Arabidopsis thaliana: one gene and its partners. The protein of the gene in region 1 interacts with the protein of each later gene in a pairwise test. Each region holds a gene or a part of one and is shown on either strand. Other genes may lie near its edges. The genes, in order: NRT1.7, AT3G10980, AT3G52070 and ERS2.

What was found.
Region 2: the proteins of NRT1.7 (region 1) and AT3G10980 interact in a protein complementation assay, tested with the Arabidopsis thaliana proteins (one large-scale study listed by BioGRID).
Region 3: the proteins of NRT1.7 (region 1) and AT3G52070 interact in a protein complementation assay, tested with the Arabidopsis thaliana proteins (one large-scale study listed by BioGRID).
Region 4: the proteins of NRT1.7 (region 1) and ERS2 interact in a protein complementation assay, tested with the Arabidopsis thaliana proteins (one large-scale study listed by BioGRID).

What each region holds. Positions count from the first base shown.
Region 1 is NC_003070.9:26,314,185-26,320,785, reverse strand, and holds NRT1.7 (nitrate transporter 1.7), read right to left. Parts: upstream 5,000-6,601; 5' UTR 4,579-4,999; coding exon 4,392-4,578; intron 3,827-4,391; coding exon 3,609-3,826; intron 2,268-3,608; coding exon 1,702-2,267; intron 1,581-1,701; coding exon 689-1,580; 3' UTR 553-688; downstream 1-552. UniProt on the Arabidopsis thaliana protein: Low-affinity proton-dependent nitrate transporter. Not involved in dipeptides transport, but has a weak glucosinolate transport activity. Involved in phloem loading and nitrate remobilization from the older leaves to other tissues.
Region 2 is NC_003074.8:3,436,642-3,441,849, forward strand, and holds AT3G10980 (PLAC8 family protein), read left to right. Parts: upstream 1-1,570; 5' UTR 1,571-2,168; coding exon 2,169-3,860; 3' UTR 3,861-4,658; downstream 4,659-5,208. Other genes in the region: AT3G10974 (uncharacterized protein), read left to right, coding at 547-672.
Region 3 is NC_003074.8:19,310,713-19,313,747, reverse strand, and holds AT3G52070 (RNA/RNP complex-1-interacting phosphatase), read right to left. Parts: upstream 1,031-3,035; 5' UTR 996-1,030; coding exon 651-995; 3' UTR 524-650; downstream 1-523. Other genes in the region: AT3G52075 (uncharacterized protein), read left to right, coding at 328-501; AT3G52060 (core-2/I-branching beta-1,6-N-acetylglucosaminyltransferase family protein), read left to right, coding at 1,721-2,761.
Region 4 is NC_003070.9:1,154,219-1,159,472, forward strand, and holds ERS2 (ethylene response sensor 2), read right to left. Parts: upstream 3,596-5,254; 5' UTR 3,328-3,595; intron 2,922-3,327; 5' UTR 2,908-2,921; coding exon 1,132-2,907; intron 1,060-1,131; coding exon 898-1,059; 3' UTR 546-897; downstream 1-545. UniProt on the Arabidopsis thaliana protein: Ethylene receptor related to bacterial two-component regulators. Acts as a redundant negative regulator of ethylene signaling.

The DNA of each region.
Region 1 (6,601 bases):
TTTTTGTCAAACCCCAATATATTAATTGAGTGAATAAACGTTAAAACGGAATTCAATTGTAGGTTAAATGAATGATGGAATATACAGCATGTGGCAAAGAGGTAGACACAAAATAAAGCAGTAGATATTTTTGCTTCATGCCAAATATGTTTTGGACTTGGTGTTCTAGAAGTCTAATATGATATATATATATATATATATTTTTTTTTTTTTTATGTACCCAAGAAGTCTAATATTAATATTAACAGTAATAGCAGTAGTAGCTTTTCTTTACAACATATTAGTTGGGTTGTACTCATTTACCGTCCGTAATCGATAAAGGATGAAACTATGCCTAATAACGTGATCCTCCATAGAAATGATCAATTAAAACTATACTGTTTATATTTCTATCAAGTCATAACATAGTGTATATGATATAGTTCCAAATGCAATCCATCTAACTAGATTACTTTTATGATTTTAAATATACTTGTTAGAGATGGTTTTCTGATTCCAGGCAGAGAGTATGATGACAAAGTTATAAAATAAGACAAAACTGTGAACTATATCTAACACTTCTACATAATGAAAGGTAAAATTTTATTAAATATTCTAGTTCTTACATATTATGATACATACATTGTCATAGTAATTATTCAAACAACATCGACAATCTTCTTGTTGTCCCTAAGGATAGTCTATTAAATCATTTCATCGATTTCTTCGAAGTCATCTCAACATCATCGGAGGACTTGTCCTCCTCAAAGTCTTCAATCGGTAAACCGACCTTGTACCGGTATCCCCGAGCACAATACCAAAAGTAAACCAGATTAACCACACCCAAAACCGCAATCAGATAATAGAAGTAATCCAATTTTCCCGCGTTGAGATTCTTGTTTAGCCAATCCGGACGATCATGCCCACCGGAGAATTTATGAACGACAGTCACAAGGAAACTACTAAGGTAGCTCGAACCGGCGAACGATAAAGAGAAGAGAGAGTTAGCGATACTTCTCATGTGCTCTGGAAACTGACTGTTGAAGAACTCAATTTGTCCGATGATATTGAATGCTTCACATAGTCCCATGAGAATTAGCTGCGGCGAAAGCCAAAACACCGACATTGGAGTCATTCCCGTTGGATCTCCGGCATTGATGGAGCGTATGCGTCTCATACGCTCCACAATGCCCGCAACGATCATAGAAAAGATCGCGAAAACGATCCCTGTTCCTATCCTTTGGAGGAGTGTGATTCCGGATTTATGGCCGGTGATTCGCCGCATGAATGGTACAAAAACGCGGTCGTAGAAGGGAAGAAAGATGCCGATTGTGAGGAGAGAGATGACGGAGAGTGAACCAGCCGGAATCTCGAATTTAGGACCTAAGTTTCGATCCATTTTCAAAGCTTGAGAGACCGTGAAAGTGCCTTGTGTTGTCATGGCCGCGAGTGAGATTATTCCGGCCGACCAGATAGGAACAATTCGGATCAAACACTTCACTTCTTCCACTTCTTGGACGCTGCATAACCGCCACTTGTCTGCGGGAGGTCCCTCGGGTGTTAGGTCACCTTCTATAACCACCGCGGCTTTGTCAAGACACCTAATTTTATGCCATTTCAGTTAGACTATAGGTTAATACAAAATCATGTAATCAGTGTTGTCTTAAAACCACCTTGAAAGTGATAAGCAAAAAATAAAAACAAAAATCATATATTAAGTACCTGAATTGGTTACTGCGGTGTAACTTGGATAACACGCTAGACTTGATGGCTGGGTCGTAATAGGTGACAGTGCCGTCATCTTCCGCCGGAAGTTTCAGCTTTCGCTTCTTACGAGCTGCCACGATAACTTGAGCGATCCCAGAGAATATACTTCCTTCTGGTTTAACGTAGACATAACGCTTCATTCCGGCAAAAAACATAACAACCGCAAGAGCCATGAGTCCGGTAGGGATACTAAAACCGATAATCCAACTGACTTGATCCTGGATATACACAACTACGGTCTGTGTAATGATCAGAACCACAGTGAAAGTCATGTAATACCAGTTGAAGAAACTGGCCACTCCTTTAACCCCTTCCTCAGTTCGTTGGTCAAACTGATCAACCCCAAAAGGGATGCTACAAGGTCGTATTCCTCCACTCCCTACGGAGAGGAAACAGAGTCCCAATAGCAAAACTCCGATCTGGAGCTTATTCGGACCGCCGCAACTGAGTGGGTCCTGGCTGTTGCATGATGCTGGGTGGAGTTGAGGAAACGATGCTGTGAGTGTAATTGTTATTAGTCCCTGCATGTTGTCAATGTAATTATAATCAGTCATTATTAATTTTGAAACCGATTCTTCATTATTAGATATTCTATAATATATAACTTGAAACTGAATGATTGTTAATTAATATTGAAGAAAGCAAACAGTAGTGTGGGATATATAGATTGAAGTTATGCGAACAAATACAAACAATTAATAAAGTTTACAATAGTCTTAATTAGGTTTGACTTCATATGATTGAAAAGTGATGTTACCTTGATTAGGTGAAAGTGACAGTGACGTAGAACCTAATATCATTTATTTCTGTTGTAACCCTAATATAGTAATATGAGCATTTGTAACAGTTTAAGTTCAACGTTTAACTAATTACGAAAAAGACAAAAAAGTGCAAGAGAAATTAACAAGTTGGATGCGATCATAATTCTATAATTGTGAATGAAACAGACACTAGAAAAGTAACTATTATTATATACGTAACGTCACTGTGATACTGACCAAATCTAAAACCCAACTAGCTAGCTAAATCATCAAGAAACTCAAACACTCAATTATTGGACAATCTCATTGTCAATAATCTATATTGACCACTTGCGTATCTCTTCCTTTTCTACGCACATCTCTTTATCTCTTAAACAGAACACGTTCTAATACGTAACTCCTTTATTGGAAAATGTTTCATCAATGAACAAAAGATGTTTACGTGAGATAAGTATTTTCTTACCATTTTTTTTGGATGTTATATAAATTTTCAAGGTAAATACCGACAAGAATAAGTGTACTAACTAATGCTTTTGTTCTTATGATTCACATTATTGACCGACCTTATCGTCCTCGATAGCGTGGTCCCTCAATAAGTTCATGCGTTTTCGTACGATACAAAAGTAATTTAATAGCTTTTGATATAGAAAAAAAGAGAGTAACATAATAGGTATAAAATAATATATAAAGTGTTAATACTTTGTCATTTACATATATATATACTTAATTTAATTTGTCTATACGTATTTTCTTATCATGTCCACGTGCGGGGTGAAATTATGTGCCAAGTATCATGTATCGTCGCCACACACACAAAAAAACACGTAAATTGAGTAGTAATATAGAACTTTCTATTTAGAGTTGTTATGTTTTTTGTTGGATGCAACTATTCGAACAGTGGACGCTAAAGCACTGACCCATGCTGGCAGTAGGCCGCGAATAGTTGCGGATTTGAGGTGTTAGGAACATATAAAGTAAATACTACTACGTACGTAAATGTTGTGTATTTGTAGACACATTAGATTATTTATTTTTATTTTAGTTTTTTAAAAAGATTATATAAAATTTTCAATAAGTTAAATAAAAAAATATTATACGTACGAGGAGAGTGGCGAATGAGGCGAAAGCGATGGTCTTGAAGCGGCCAACATAAGTGTCTGAGATATACGCTCCGACGAGAGGAGTGAGATTGGTGAAACCTGACCAAATGTTGATGACATTTGCAGCGTCGACTTGTTCTAAGTGAAACACTTTGGTTAGATAAACCATGAAGTTTGCCAACAATCCTATCGATCCCAGTCTCTCCAGCGTCTCATTTCCTATTCAACCCATTTTATTACAAAATATTATCAGCAAATAAATCGACAAATAATCCCTCTATTGAAGAATATCAATTATACTCCATTTTATCTAGTAATTATCATCACTAACAAAATTAATCATATTCCATTAAATAGAGAGAAATAAAATATTATAAAAATTTAAAAGTATAAAATAATTTAAAATGAAAGTTAACATTTTGGCTAAAAGAGCACTTATGATGACAAATTTTTATTCCATTTCAGTTATAAAGTCGTCAGCTAGACGAGTGTCAAACATGTTGGACCGACGGTTACGAGAGTAATATATAATATAATTTTTGATCGAGCTGAAAAGATTATGCGCTCATTTCTTTTGTTCTGACTATTATGTGCAATGATTTAGGCAGAACGTGATCTTGCAACGGCCCGTTACATCTCCCAATGATAATATATTAACTGGTTTCTAGAACTATATATCCAATTAAGGAAATTAACAAAAAAATATTAGCCAATAACTGAGGAAAGGTCAAGGATTAGGTAAACTAAATTATGTACACGAAGCCTAAAAATAAAATTAAAATACCTAAAATGAACGAGACGGCTCTCCATCCTCCAGGCTTTTTCTCTACCTTCTCAGCATCCAATATAGATCCCGGCGAACTTATCCGCTTGTAGGGATCAACAACATCCAACTCCGACGGTGACGATTTAGAGAAACTACCGGATCGTCCCGGCAAAGAAGAACCGTCCTTTCTATCCTCCAAAACCATCTCTAAGATATTACTACACTCGTGATATACTCACTTCGATTTCGGGGTGGATTTAATGTTGTGAGAATATATTCTCACTTTTTTGCAATCAAGGTAACACACATGAAGTGATTGATAAATGTAGAGAGTGGGCACAACATACAGACACTTTCTCTTTGTTAGAAGCTTTTTTGGGTGTAGTGAATTATTTGTGGAAGTGTGTATATATAAGGGAGTGAGTAGATAATATATGGTGGGTGTGGGTAAATTTGAATGACGTTCGCCACTAGTAGCCTCCACGTGAGAAGTTTGAAGAGGAAAATTAAAAGAAAACTATTTTAGTGCTATGTTTTTTTTGTTTTTCTTACACCGTACGTAACATTATTGTTTTGTTCCACGTATTGTGAACCTTCCATGTTCCATACAATTGTAACGTTAAAATACGATGTTAAATTAATGAACCATCTTTTACAGTACATTTGCATCGTAAGGGGTTGATGGATGATATTTTTTGTTCACGCGGTTTTATGTGTGTTGTCGGTCATATATATGGTATGATGTGTCTCAAAAGGACATCTAATCTTTTTTACCTAAAAATGATATGATATCTCATAAATAAGCGAGATTTTATTTTCTCTAAAGCATATTTTATTTTTATTTTCTTAAAGGAAGTGAGATTGTATCGATTTTTTCTATTAATCAATCAGTTGACTTAGTTCTACACTTTAATGATCCTGACAAAATCTTAAAATTTATATAGAACCTTTTAAAATTTTTACTATTATTGATAGAGATAAACATTTGTCACATTTATACGATTTTGACTCATGGCGATAGATTCTTCGAAGTTAAAACTCTCTTTCAAACTAGTTAATAAGAGTAGATTTTATTTACTGCTTTATACAATTCACACACTTGAAACGTCCAATATGTCATCTTGGCATACAATTGCTTGTTGAGAGTCGTTCAATTGGTAAACAAATAAATAAAACTCAAAACGTACATACCAACATGATCTAATATTTTTGCACAAAAAGTCATCGCACTCTAAGATGAACCTTAAACTATTTTGGGTTGCAATCAAACAAAGAAACACATATCACCAAAATTTAATATAATAAAGTTAGAAACAATAGTACACATATAGAGCTGGCCTTAAAACTTTGGAAGCTCATACCAAAAAATAAAATAAAAAAATGACATATCACCAATTAATACATTGAGATGAATTTGTGCAGGAAGTGATTAAATTTCGAACCCACTTAATCCTCCTAAAAATATTAACAGAATTTCCGAGAAAGAAACTAATTCTATTTATTCGTATATAATTTTATACGATTGCTCGAATGTGTGGTACATATGTTTATCTAGATGTTGAGTTGAGAAATTCCATGTCTAGATATTTTTCAATTCTAAATTTTCATTGATTTATTGTAGAAAAAAATATTAATCAACCACTTCAACTTCAAAACAATTCGCATCATTTTTTTTTCTCAATGTAAAATATATATTATATATAGAAACAATGAAAATCTTCACAAGAAATGAACATTAATAATAAAATTATCATTGAATGTTTATGTTAAAGGAAAGATTAAGTCCAACCAAACTTGTAAAATTCAAATTGAACACAAACATAAAAATCGGTGAGTGAAGACAGAAACAGAAAGAGAAATACGATAAGATGAGGTAGGCTTTTATCGCCTTTTAGGCAAATGCAAGTGCCTAACACTGTCGCATGCGCGAGCCATCAAATTTCTACGCAAACCCTCTTTGTCTTTTCTTCTTTATTAATTTTTTTTTGTTTGGACCTTTACGTGGGATCCTATACCGTATCACCGTTCGATTTTATGGTCATATTATTGTACACCGTTCGATCATCTTATCTCTCTTCACCATTCTCAATGGTCAGATGATATGAACCGTGGACTGGGTGCCTAAGGTTTGGACTGCTTTTACTAATCTGTCTCAATATGCTGAGCTGTGTGGTGCGGGTCACTATCAAACATATGCATTTTAATGGTCATGATCGAATAACGAAAAA
Region 2 (5,208 bases), on another chromosome or scaffold:
GCTTTTCCTCAAGTTAAATTTCATCAATATAGAAACATATAAATTTACTATTGTTATAGATTTTGAGATACAAATATTTAAACCAATTAGATAAAAAATCCATATAAGATTTTATCATGAATTTCTTGAAAGATCTCCAATTATTAAATGTATATTCCTAGAAAAAACTATATACAGAATAATGACTAATTTGCCACAAAATACAATTATTCTTACATATATAAATTGCATCAAAAGGGTGATAAGTTATCAATTTCAACACTGATTTACTCTTGAAATATCTCTTTCTCAATAGAACTTCCAAAGGAAATGAAGTAAGTCTCTAACATTCTCACTTTCTTTTGCCTCATAGCTCTCCTATCCCGTAAGCATTTCTTATATCTCTGAGATTTTGTTCATTTCTGTAATCTAAAACTCAATCAATAAGACTTATTACTATTTAAAACAATATTAGCATACATGACTTAAGTTAGTTTTAACGGTGTAGATATAACATTCTCAAGTGTTAGCGTGGTGGAAGGTAGAAACACGTTGGAGCATGAAGCCATGTCGCATGTGATTAACCAAAAGACTTCTCCATATGTTGTGCATCCGCAAAAGGTTCCATGCGCTGATTGCACTTGGCCATGTGATCCTGTTGTAGTTGGTGAAGGTTGTATATGTCGTTGCTAAAATTTCCGTTTCTATCATAATTTCGCCATATATAATGTGTTGGACCTTCGATAAAAATTAAATAACAATAAAATTATATTTATTATTGATTGCTCGGAGAAAGAGATATAATGATACCATGAATCTCTTTCTCATAACTACATGGTATAGGAAGTTGAAGAAAACAATATGTTGATTTGCATTTCTCCATAAAAGACTTCTCCACATGTTATGCATCCGCAAAAGCACCCATGCGCTGATTTGCACTTGCCCATGTGATCTTGTTGTATCTGGAGAATGTCATATATGTCGATGCTAAAGTTTTTTTTATTTTATCGAATATCCGCCAAAATGTATTTGGCCTTCCACAAAATAATAATTATTATTGATTATAAACTCTGAGAAGGAGACCATAATTTCTTTCTCATGACAACATTGTCATTGTTAATCATCCAAATCGATTTCACTCTATGTGTTGTACACGCATCACATGAACAATACAACATACTATGTCTCAGTGATATCGCACAGCTGAATAGCTGATCTACTTTCAAGTTAACATACAACACAAAAAAAAAAAAAAAACTATGATAGATAAGAAGAATATGGTTGGTAGTAAGAAAATGTATTTTCCCTAGATCAAATTCCAAAACTTGATACAAAAACTCTAAATTAACCACTGGATGGCTTCGATTCTGTCATTAACGTGCGAGAATCTCGGTGTAATCGAGATCATTATAAACTTAATGATATTTTATCATTCTAAGAGCTAGTCTTGGAAGGTGTGAAGACTTTATTAATCAAGTATATATAAATTATCAAAAAACACAACCCAAAAAACAGTAAGAACAATACACATCTGTAACAGCTTGTCAGTAAATTAGTAGTAATAATTAAAATCTGATAAATACTATATGCTAAAACGTTTTGTGTATCTTATTTTTGTGAGTACACTAATACAATAATGCTTTTTTTTTTCCTTTTCATGAATAAAAAAAAACGTATTGGGACAATAATGGCGGCCTGATCAACGCTAAGTTAACTGCAACCACGAGAAAAAAAGAATCCGAGACTAGTTCTTCCCCAACGACCAATCTTATGTTGCATCAATTTCACAACAGAAGCCTTACCTTTTCATTACACGCATATTGCTTCTTCAAAGTTTCCTTTTAGATAAATTCTTAGTCTGAGTAACATCTCTTTCTTGTCTTGGGGGTTTCTCTGTAATTGCAGCTGAATCGGATCTTGGGCAATTTTTAAATTCCGATTCAACGAGTTTCTCAACTAAGGGTTTGATTCCTTTTCTTTTTCATCTTTGTTTATTCAAATCTGAATACTTTGTTAGGTTTCAATGTGCTGAGAAGTAGAAGAAGCTTCGTTGGCAAGTCCGAATCTTTTCTTCTTCTTTTTTCTGGGTTTTATATTCTTTGCCAACAATGTTTAAGCTTGCAAAGCATATATTCCTTTGAGTAGCTGTTTTATTCCTACAAAGATTTGATCTTCAATAGAGAGAGATAATGGGATCTAATTGTGATGGGAATTTGAAAGCAGAGATTGAAGAATCTAATGGTTCTTCTGGCAAAAATACTAAGGTTCCTCCTTGTCCTCTTGATGTTTCTACATCTAGAAGAACTTTGATTGGTGATGGTAAACCTAGGAGATGGTCTATTAGTGCTTTACCTGATGCTTCTAGTAGATTCCAGCTTCTCAAATTTGGTTCTCCTTCTGCTAAGTTCAAGAAAATGGCTGAGGATAGAGACGAGGTTTCACGGTCAGTGACTAGCTCAAGTAACGGAAGCAGTCATAATTTCAGGGAAAGAATCAGTGGCGTGCTTCACCGGAAAATAGATTGGAGTTCTCTGATGAATATGGGGAAAGAATGGATTAGGAATCCTATTAACATGGCTTTATTCGTTTGGATACTTGTTGTTGCAGTCTCTGGTGCTATTCTCTTCATGGTTATGACTGGTATGTTGAATCATGCTTTGCCTAAGAAGTCACAGAGAGATGCTTGGTTTGAAGTTAACAATCAGATTCTTAATGGCTTGTTTACTTTGATGTGTCTTTATCAACATCCCAAACGGTTTTATCACTTAGTGCTTCTTTGTAGATGGAAGCATGATGATATTACTAAGCTTAGGAAAGCTTATTGCAAGGATGGGACTTATAAGCCTAATGAATGGATGCACATTATGGTTGTTGTCATTTTGCTTCACTTGAATTGTTTTGCTCAGTACGCGCTTTGTGGTCTTAATGTTGGATACAGGAGATCAGAGAGACCTCCCATTGGAGTTGCTATATGTATCTCTGCTGCCATTGGAGCTCCTGCGGTTGCGGGTTTGTACACTATACTAAGTCCACTTGGGAAAGATTATAATGATTCTAATGAAGACGAGGAGAATCAACTGAAGCAACGTGAAGAAGGGTCTGTTAATCGTCGGTTTACTTTAGAGAGGAGGTATTCGTTTGCCTCTGCTTCCACGGGGGTTGGGGATGGGATGGTTCCGGTGAGTGATCCTCAGTGGAGTGGTGGAATTTTGGATATTTGGGATGATATTTCATTGGCTTATCTTTCTCTTTTCTGCACTTTCTGTGTCTTTGGATGGAACATGGAGAGAGTTGGGTTTGGGAACATGTATGTTCACATAGCTACGTTTATTCTCTTCTGTTTGGCACCTTTCTTTATATTCAACTTAGCTGCGGTTAATATCGATAATGAGACGGTCAGGGAGGCGTTAGGGATATCTGGAATCCTTCTTTGTGTGTTTGGTTTGCTCTATGGTGGATTCTGGAGAATTCAGATGAGGAAAAGATTCAAATTACCGAGTTATAATTTCTGTTTCGGTAGAGCCGCGATTGCTGATTGTGCGCTCTGGTTATGTTGTTGTTGGTGCTCTTTAGCACAAGAAGTTAGGACTGCAAACTCTTATGAGATAGTGGAAGACAAATTCTGCCAAAGAAAAGAAGAGAAGAATATGGTATCTCCGAATTTGGTATCACCTTTGCCTCGTGAAGACGGTGTGTTTGATCCTCGGTTTGGTCTCGGGAGCTCCCCTAAGAACATAAGTGGAGCTAGTTCTCCTAGCCCGAGCAGGTTTTGGAAAGAGGCACATAGCCCAAATGTACAGACACCTAGAGAGAAAGAAGAGGTTAAAAGCGATGTTGCTCTGACTCCACCTTCTCCTCTGTCTATACACCGAGAAGCTTGATTTGTAAAACCATGGAAATCCGAGTCCACTGGTAACCCTCCTTTCCTTTCTCTTTAGATGTTGTATGAATATGATTTGAGGACAACTTTTGAATACAAGTCTCTTTGAGTGTTTTACAAAAAAAATTATGAAGCTGGTTTCTTCATGTGAGTTGTATACAATTTCAGTTTCTGGTTTAGAGAACTTTCACGGCTTCTTCTGTAATGTAAATTTGTCTGTCATGCTTCAGTGAGACTTTGAGTGATCTATGTACCTTTGCAGGCTTTGCTTTTTTACTTCTAATTCATGATTCGAACCAGATGGTTGGAGAAGTTGTTGGCTTTTGAGGTTAAGTAGTAAGAACCATAGGAGATTTTGAGTCAGTCATATTCACAATTCTTTATTTTGCTTGGTTTTCTGGTCCGGTTTGGGGTTCAAATTCTCAAGTCTCAGTGGATTACATAAGGGATCACAGTGTATCTATAAACCCACGTATCGCTAATGGTGATCTACACCTGATTTAGATAGAGGAGACTCCACAATGTTAACAAATAATATAAAACTATAGTGCTATTAGTGAAAATGATACCACAAGTTGTCATTAGCAGAGAAAGATCAGTATCAATATCCAATATAGGAATGAAGCGTCACTGTCTTAAAGAGTCATTATCGTGGAGAACCACATCACTAATCCACTTATGTGTAGTTAGTTGTTTGTAATCAACTTTTTGTATTTTCTTGTGTAATCCAACTTTTGATGTATTAGTTTAAGCTGTATTACTTTTAAAAGCTTGCCTTTATTTTCCTTGTGAAATTCTGCATAAATATCAAAAGAGATTTATGACAAAACAATGTTGCTTTTTCATCATTAACGGTTGTGGTATTTTAGCCAATCAAATTCTTTAGTTTCTAATTTTAAAGTTGTGTTTAAAAACAAAAATGTACCACTATCGTCGACATAAGAAAAAAGTATCTAAGCTTAAAACGCTAACATTCATACCAATTTAAATTTATATCATTCCAAAGTTCTTCAAAATCCCTTAGTCTCTCTATTTCAATATGTACGTATAAAAATGTATTATAAGACATCGAAACGTGTCATGTGTACACTGAAGTCGCAGGACTAGAAGGAGCTAATAGGTGGCCATGGTGCTCTACGTGGACTCTCTGTGTGACACGTGTCAAAGTGATTATGCATCTTTCAAACTTCTGTGATAGGTTGGTTGGCCCGACCAAGACGACCAACATACTCGTTGAACACGTTTCGTTGCATATTTCTGTATTCATCTGTATTAATACTAATAAGAAACCATTTCTGTTTGACTGTATTAATGAATAATGATTCCTGAAGATTTTAAATTATTTCTTC
Region 3 (3,035 bases), on another chromosome or scaffold:
ATATAGGAGAGATGGAAACTCTTCTTTTTCCCAATGTTCCATCTATAGCGGAATTGTTAGATGACGCTGAAGTTGTTGGATTTGATGAAACAAAGGAGGAACGTTTTTTCTTTAAGATCATTTGCTGATTCTTGTTTCCTTACCTGAACACTCCACAACCAAGCTTTTATCCCAAGCTCTTTGCTTATAGCTGACTTAGAGGTTGGATTGTACAGGGAAAAGCTCGCAGTGATATGACTATGGAGGAAAGGTTTGGTGCAGCACACAGAAGGAAAATGGATGGGGCTCTCTGTTTAAGGAGGATAAATTGGAGGAGGCCAATACGAAATGGTTAGGAATCTCTCTTTCTTTCTAACAATTACGGTCAAAGTTTTGGTTTTCAAGGCATACTCAGCGACTCTGCCCGAGGCTCTTGCATCTCCTTTCGGCTCTAAAACAAAGAGCCTTAACTGGTTGATAGTGTTATCGCAATGGTTGGTTTGCCTTTTCTGCCGGAGTTAAAGCAGATAAAGAGGTATGAGAAGCTTAACAATTCAATTATATAAGACCAAAGTGAAAGATCACAACTCTCAATTCTCCTATGTCGGAATTGAATTTCTTATCTTATTACTGATTTGTGCAGAATTTACAAGGAGGAGCTAGCTTAGCTACTACCATGAAGATTTGGGGAAGCTGAGATGTTGCCAGGAGAAGTAAGCACAAACCAATAGTTGAGAGATATAAACATAAACAGCAAAAGAGAGACTCATAAGCATCAGGTCCTTGACGTCTCCTTTCTTCTTCTCTGGCTTCAGATTCTTCCCAATCTTCCCAGCCTCTGAAATCATCCTTCTCAATGTTCTCTGGATCACTCCTTCATTCTCTTCTGGTAATTTCTGCTTCCGACAAGACATCACTCTCATAGATCTAACTCCGTGTCTGCTTGAGGCTTGTCTCTTTGTACGGTGGTTAGTGCAGAGTGGGTGGTAGTAGAAGGTGGTGGAGAGAGCCGCCATGAGAAGATGAATAGAATAATTGAAGAAAGTTTTTTGTTTTGGGAATCAAAAGTGAGCAGGAAAATATCAGAATCTTGATAGCTTAACGACAAAAATGATTTGAAAAATGGGTGGATAGATCTCATCTAACACACACACATGTAGTCACAAGGTACACGCCAATGCAAAACCAAATTGGCCGAATTTCTATTCGGTTCGTTTCAACTAATTCGGTTTGTTTCGATTTCTAAACCGAAAACCCAAATTTTTTGATCCAAACCGATTCTGAATGGCCAGGTAATCAGGTATAGTCGGAAGCATCTACAAATTCACAACAACAACACATTATGTCTGACTGGTGAGATAAATGATGACTGAGTGGATAAGCAAAGAATAAAATAATGTCATAAAGTCAACAACATGTCTCTGTGACTCTATCTCTATCCTATTATTAGATTTAATCAGATAACTTTAAAATCTGGTTGCTGAAAAAACCGTATCTCATTATTATATAAATAGAGAGAGAACAGCCCCACGTAAACAAATAGCGATAGAGCAACTGTGTCGATTGTCCCAAATAATTTTAAAAATAATTTCACGTGTCCCCATTTTGCTGACGTCATTATTCCCCTTTTTCCTTTTTATTGTCACATCAGAATTTTTTCTAACTCATTCATTTCAATCAATCTTCTTCTTCTTCTTCTTCTTCTTCCTCAGAGAAATTCTGTGTTGTTGTATACAGAGAGATGTTCTCATCTTCTACACTCGTTTATTCTCTATCTCTCTTCCTCTCTCTTTCTCTTCTCTTCTTCCTCTTCATCCTCTCACCACACATCCTTCTCTCTTCCTCTACCCTCATTTCCACCGCCGATGACCTAGACGACCTCTCTCTCTTCCACCGCGCCGTCGTCTCTTCCTCCACCAACAACAACCGTCGTCTCATCTCCCTCTCTCCAAATCCACCCCCAAAGATCGCTTTCCTCTTCCTAACAAACTCCGATCTAACCTTCTTACCTCTCTGGGAAAGCTTCTTCCAAGGTCACCAAGATCTCTACAACGTTTACATCCACGCAGATCCAACCTCCTCCGTCTCTCCTCTTCTCGATTCTTCATCAATCAACGCTAAGTTCATCCCGGCGAGAAGAACCGCACGAGCTTCTCCGACGTTAATCTCCGCCGAACGACGATTACTAGCAAACGCAATCCTCGACGATCCTAACAATCTCTATTTCGCTTTAATCTCACAACACTGTATCCCTCTCCATTCCTTCTCTTACATCCACAACCACCTCTTCTCCGATCATCATCAACAAAGCTTCATCGAGATCCTCTCCGATGAACCGTTCCTTCTGAAACGATACAACGCAAGAGGAGACGACGCGATGCTTCCTGAGATCCAGTACCAAGACTTCCGTGTTGGATCTCAGTTCTTCGTATTAGCGAAACGTCATGCTCTAATGGTGATCAAAGAGAGAAAGCTATGGAGGAAATTCAAATTACCATGCCTTGATGTTGAATCTTGTTACCCTGAAGAACATTATTTTCCGACTTTGTTGTCTCTTGAGGATCCTCAAGGATGTAGTCACTTTACACTCACACGTGTTAATTGGACCGGTAGTGTTGGTGGTCATCCTCACACGTACGATGCCTCTGAGATCTCGCCGCAGCTGATTCACTCTCTGCGGAGATCTAATTCGAGTTTAGACTATTTCTTCGCCAGAAAATTCACGCCGGAGTCATTGCAACCGCTTATGGAGATTGCAGATGCTGTGATCTTTAGGGATTGAATTCGGTGAAAGTAAATTAGGTATAACACTGAAATCTCAATGTGTAAATATGAATACAGTTTGAGAGTTTAGTTTCAATTTGCTTATCTTCTTGTTATTGTGTTCAGGTTTCAGATATCATCATAAGGAAGGTTTAGGAAGAAGCTTGTGTTGGCGCTCGAAGAAGAGTGGCTAAATAAAGATGAACTTCTGTGTGTGTGTGTGAAAATTGCTGTGTTTTTTAAGCTTTTGTGTGTCTCTAGGGAAGGTAGAGATATGGGAAAATGGATGTAAA
Region 4 (5,254 bases), about 25 Mb from region 1:
TAAAATTACAAACAAACAAAAAAAAATCAGCCGAAAAATTAGAGGGCGGCGAAGCAATATATCATTTCAATCAGCTAAAATATCCAGAGAAACCTCATAATTTCATCAAAGACATCGGAAAACAAAACAAAGCCCAGATGAAATCAACGATCGGGGAAAATCAAAATCGGTGTGGTATCAAAATGAAAGACTGTAATCGGAACATAAAGCCTCGCAAAATCCGAAGAACAAAGGAGGAGATATAGAAGAAGCTTATTGGTTGTAGATCGAAGCGAACCTGAGATGGTGGAAGAAAGAGCAAAGAGAAGCTAATTCGTTGAATGGGCTAATGGCAGCTCCTATGAGATTCTACAGAGAGAGAACAAACCAAAAAAGACGACGGAGGAAAAGAAAGAGAGATAAATAGAGAGAAAGAGAGGTCGCACGAATCACCTCAATGTTAAAAAAAAAAAATCACATAAACCTTTTAAAAACAAAAGTTAATTAAAAGGTCGAAGTTAATATGTACCTGGATACATATTGTGGATACAAGTTGTATACGGTTTCTGGATCAGAAATCAATAAATTTATAAGCTTCATCTAAAACGTCACAATATTTGACAAAGGAGTTGGTAGGCTTGTAAATCACAAATCCGTAAGGAACATCCTCCGACACATTTTTTTACTTTGAATTCTGTTATCACCAGCAAGTTACAACAAGTCTGCATCATACCTTTTGCCTACACGATAGGTTAAAACCTAGTTAACTTTCAGGTTTTTACAACCGAACGACAACGTTTTAGTACTCTCTCTGTTAATCTCATTAAAGCCCCTACTGTTTTTACAAATTCTCAGATTCCACCCCTTAAATCTTTCTTTTGCACTACATTCCCCTCCCCCCCTTCCTGACGTCAATGATCAGTGGCTAGTAGACGGAGGAGTTGAGGTTCTAAACGTTTCTCCAGAATATCCACCGCCTCTCGACATCATCGATCGCCGGAGTTGAAACCGGAAAACAACTGAGACGCTTTTCACCAAACCTAGACCGTCCTCAACAACCCGAATATTCCCTTGCATATACTGTCACAAAACAAGATAAAAGTGTTAAACCAAGTCATTAGCACATTTACATACAAAACACAAATGACCAACCTTTACAATGTTTTGGCAAGCGTTGAGACTCGGATTCTCTTCCTCCTCCTCCAGGTTACTACCACTACTACTACTACTACTCTCTTCACCTTCAGCAGTTACCTCGAATCCGAATCTAACTTCCATGTATTCTTTCGAATAGCAATGTCGCCAAACCGCTTCTTGAATATCTTTCCTCTCTGATACGTCTGAGTTCCCGCTTTCCGGAAAAACCCAGAAAGTCACATTCCCTTTGATCTTTCGATTCATTAGAACCCCAAGCATATGCAAAATCGCTTGAAAGACCTTTCTATCATCACCTACGACGTAGTCAGGCAATGCTCTATAAACTTCAGCTGAGAAACCAAAACCATTTGCCATGCATAAACACCTCGCCACGCAAGCTGACTCTTTCACAACCGAATGCAAACTGAAATAATGAGTCTCTGCAGCGCGGATTGTCCCATTGTTTATATCTCCGGCATTGTTTACAAGCTGTACAAGTAACTCGCTGGTTCTCCTCATTGCATCAACGATAACAGTCTGGTTCTCGGGTAACTTCCCATCCTGAAGTATCAAAGGAAGCAACCCGAGAATGGACCGCACAGGACACCTCATTGCATCGCTCATCATCTGCTCGAACGCAGCCTTGGCTTGATTAGCTCTCAGTGCGTTCTCCCTCGCAACCTGAAGCGCTCGGTTCTGTTCAGCGAGTTTCTCTCTCATAAGCTGAGATTCTTCAAGAATCACGGCGTGAGAGATTGCAACCGCCACTTGATCAGCCACCACCTTAACAATCTCAAGCTCTTGATAAGTCCAAGCCTGCGGCTGTCTCAATGGAAGCACACACACCAATATCGCATAACACATGTGAATCGCCTCTGGTGTCCCGCCTTTAAAGTTACAAACCCGAAGCATAGGGACTCTTATCCCAACCGTAGGACCTGACTTCCCTCGGCTAGTCACTGAGGCAAGCACAGAACCAGGGCTCAACATATTCACCTCTTCGCTTCTCTTAATCCTCACAACATCAGACTCACTAATCGGTATCGAGAACCCAGCATAACCACCAAAATGCTCATTCTCATTCTCATCATCAATCCTCGGTCTTAACTCATGAGTAAGATTCATCTCCGTCTTGATCTCATTCGGGATCCAAACCGCACAGTTCTTGAGCCCCAGAGTCTTGGACAACTCCACAAGCGTAGTGTATAGAATGGTGTGTCGATCAAGAGACGTCCTAATCTTGGTAGTGAGCATACGAACATGCAAACTCGTCTCAGTCTGCTTCATAATGATCCCAACCTCACGATCAAGCTCTCTGGTCTTCTTACTCAACATAAACTCACGAACCTTAGCCTTAAGAAGCAATGGTAAGAGAGTGACTAACGAGAGTGCCGTGAGGAAAGAGACGATACCAGTCAGCATCTTGAAGACAGTGACAGCTGTCATGACCCAAGGCCAGTGAGGCCCGTAGGTGAAACCAGCGAGCAAATGGGTCATGCCGCAGAGAACAATGAAGGCTATAAACTCGCAGACCACCCAATTGTAAGGTGAAGGCACATTGGTGCGGCTCACGAAGTAAACCAGCTCGATTGGGATCGAGAAATAAGCGATTGCGATAAGAAAGTCGCCGACTTTTTGCGAGTTGAGGATTGTCTCGTAGCTAAAGAGACTGTCTTCGTCGTCGCAGTTGCATAACGACAAGCTACCGTCGTCTTCTGCGGCGGTGACGACGGAACCGATTAAGAAGAAGAAGAAGAAGACAAGCCATTGGACTAACAATGTCTTTAACATCGATTACTGTTTCCCTGAGTAAGAATTAATTAAAAAGGTGAGATTTTTATTCATACCCAGAACTCAAAATCGAGATTTTTCAATTCAATATGCGTAACGTTTGGATTTTGTATACCCAGAATTGTGCAATTACCTATGAACATAGTGAAAATCAAAATCAGAAAAAGATTCAAAATTCAAAACTTGTTCAAGGAGAGAGTAAAGTTAATGTCTTTTAGATTATAAATCTTTTTCACAACAAGGACCGAATTTGTAAATTAATTTTCTTTTAATCCCCTAAATGTATGAAGTTATGAACCACCCACAAGAACAAACATCAAAATCTACCGATTCCTCACAAAATCCGCAGAAAATTCAAAATCAGATGAGAAATAGCGAAAAGGAACATCAAACCCATCTCACATTTGAGAAATCATATACCTGCAACGTAGTGATCAGCCAAAAATCTCTTTTCCAGAAAACGTAAAAGCTGTAGAAGAAGAAGAAGAAGAAGTCTAAACGATTGTTGAATCTTACGAAACTCACCAGAATGTGTAGAGAGAGAGACAAGTTAGGGAAGTAAATATGTGTGTGAGCAGAGTCTCTCGCTCTCTCTTTTTCTGTGTCTGCTGCGATAGAGAGAGTAGATTTACGTTTTGGTGAGAGAGAGAGAGAGAGAGAGAGAGAGAGGGAGGAATTGGGGGGAGAGTGAAGAAGGAAAGGGGGGTGGGACCCAGAAACGGTACATGAAGAGAACATAGACGCTTTTCGTTTGGAACACAACACGAGCACGACATCTTCTTCTTCTTCTTCTTGACCTACGTGGACTCTTACCAAATTCAATTTTAGAGGATTCTTCTTCTTTTTTTAATCTTTCCTTTTCAGCTTTATTAATTAATGACTCTATTTTCAAGATTTATGACTCTTAATACCTATCCCAAATTTTATTCTGCTTTTGGATTACAATAAACAACCTATAATAATATATATATATATTTATATTTCTATTATTTTATGTATAAAAATAAATCTATTCTTTTTAATGTTTAAAAATTAGTTAATTATATTAAATAAATGTTTTATTTCTATTATGGATGATTACATTGGTTTTTTAGAAAGTGAGATTACATGACCAAATAGTAGTATAAGTTTACATTAAAACCAAAAAATTGCATTAAACAATGATAACTACTAGACTATGCAAGTATGAAGTCTACTCACTAAATATCTAAGTTAAAAATAGTATTGACTTAAACGGCACAATTTGCGGCTGATTTGATAACATAATGAGTTAGTTTATTCGACTGACTTAAGATATTTGGTAGATAATTAAATATGCAATGCTATTTTTCGTTTGTAAAACGTTATATTGACCTACCTTGCTACTTATTAGACATGATTTAGTTAAACACTCCATCTTTGTTTTTCTACTCAATAATAACAATACCGAATCAAATTTCTTTGTGGGTCTACCGCCACTTAACTCTTATCAGAAAATGGAGTCTTAACTAAGTGCATGATCATCTCTTTGGATCCCAATATCACTAAATTATCGATCGTACTACTAATTTTTCTTGGCAATTTTATCATTTTATTGGTAATATTTCCCTTTCAAGAAATCAATATGATCAACCACTAACTTTTCTTTGTAAACCGCAAATTTAGAAAAATATATACACATGAAAATCCGTATATTTTGATTGCCCTATTGAAATTTAGTACAAGTAATATATAAACTAGCTACATAACCTCGACAATAACGAACACTTATCAGATTTAGAAGACAAAACTAACAGCAATCTTGCTATATCGGTTTGAATTTTATGTTTTTGTTTATTAATATGAATTTGATCTTAGTGGATGCACTAGGAACATTTTATGGTCAAGGTTTTATACCAATATAAATCTTTTAAATAAATAACCAGTGGTCTAGTGGTAGAATAGTACCCTGCCACGGTACAGACCCGGGTTCGATTCCCGGCTGGTGCAGATTGTATTTTTTTCCTGTTATACAGGTTTTTTCGCTTTTTTCTTTTTCTTTTTTTCTGAATCCAATGCTATTATTGGCCACGTGTCGAGCGATGAACACGTGCTGATTCCTTTCCTTTTCTGTCTACATTCTCGTCACTATTACAAAACAAATGTCTTCTCCTTTTAAAGAAATCACTGGTAAGAATGCATGCATCATAAAACTTTTATCAAAGAAATAGAAATAGTGCATGCACCTTTGCCACTTAAGCCAATATATATGCAAATCAAAACAGATGTACACAGAATCATTTTTACTTTTTTTGCATGAGACCACATACATATACAGTATAATCTTTTGTCTGTAAAGGCAATCCAGTACAAGACTAGCTAATGTTTG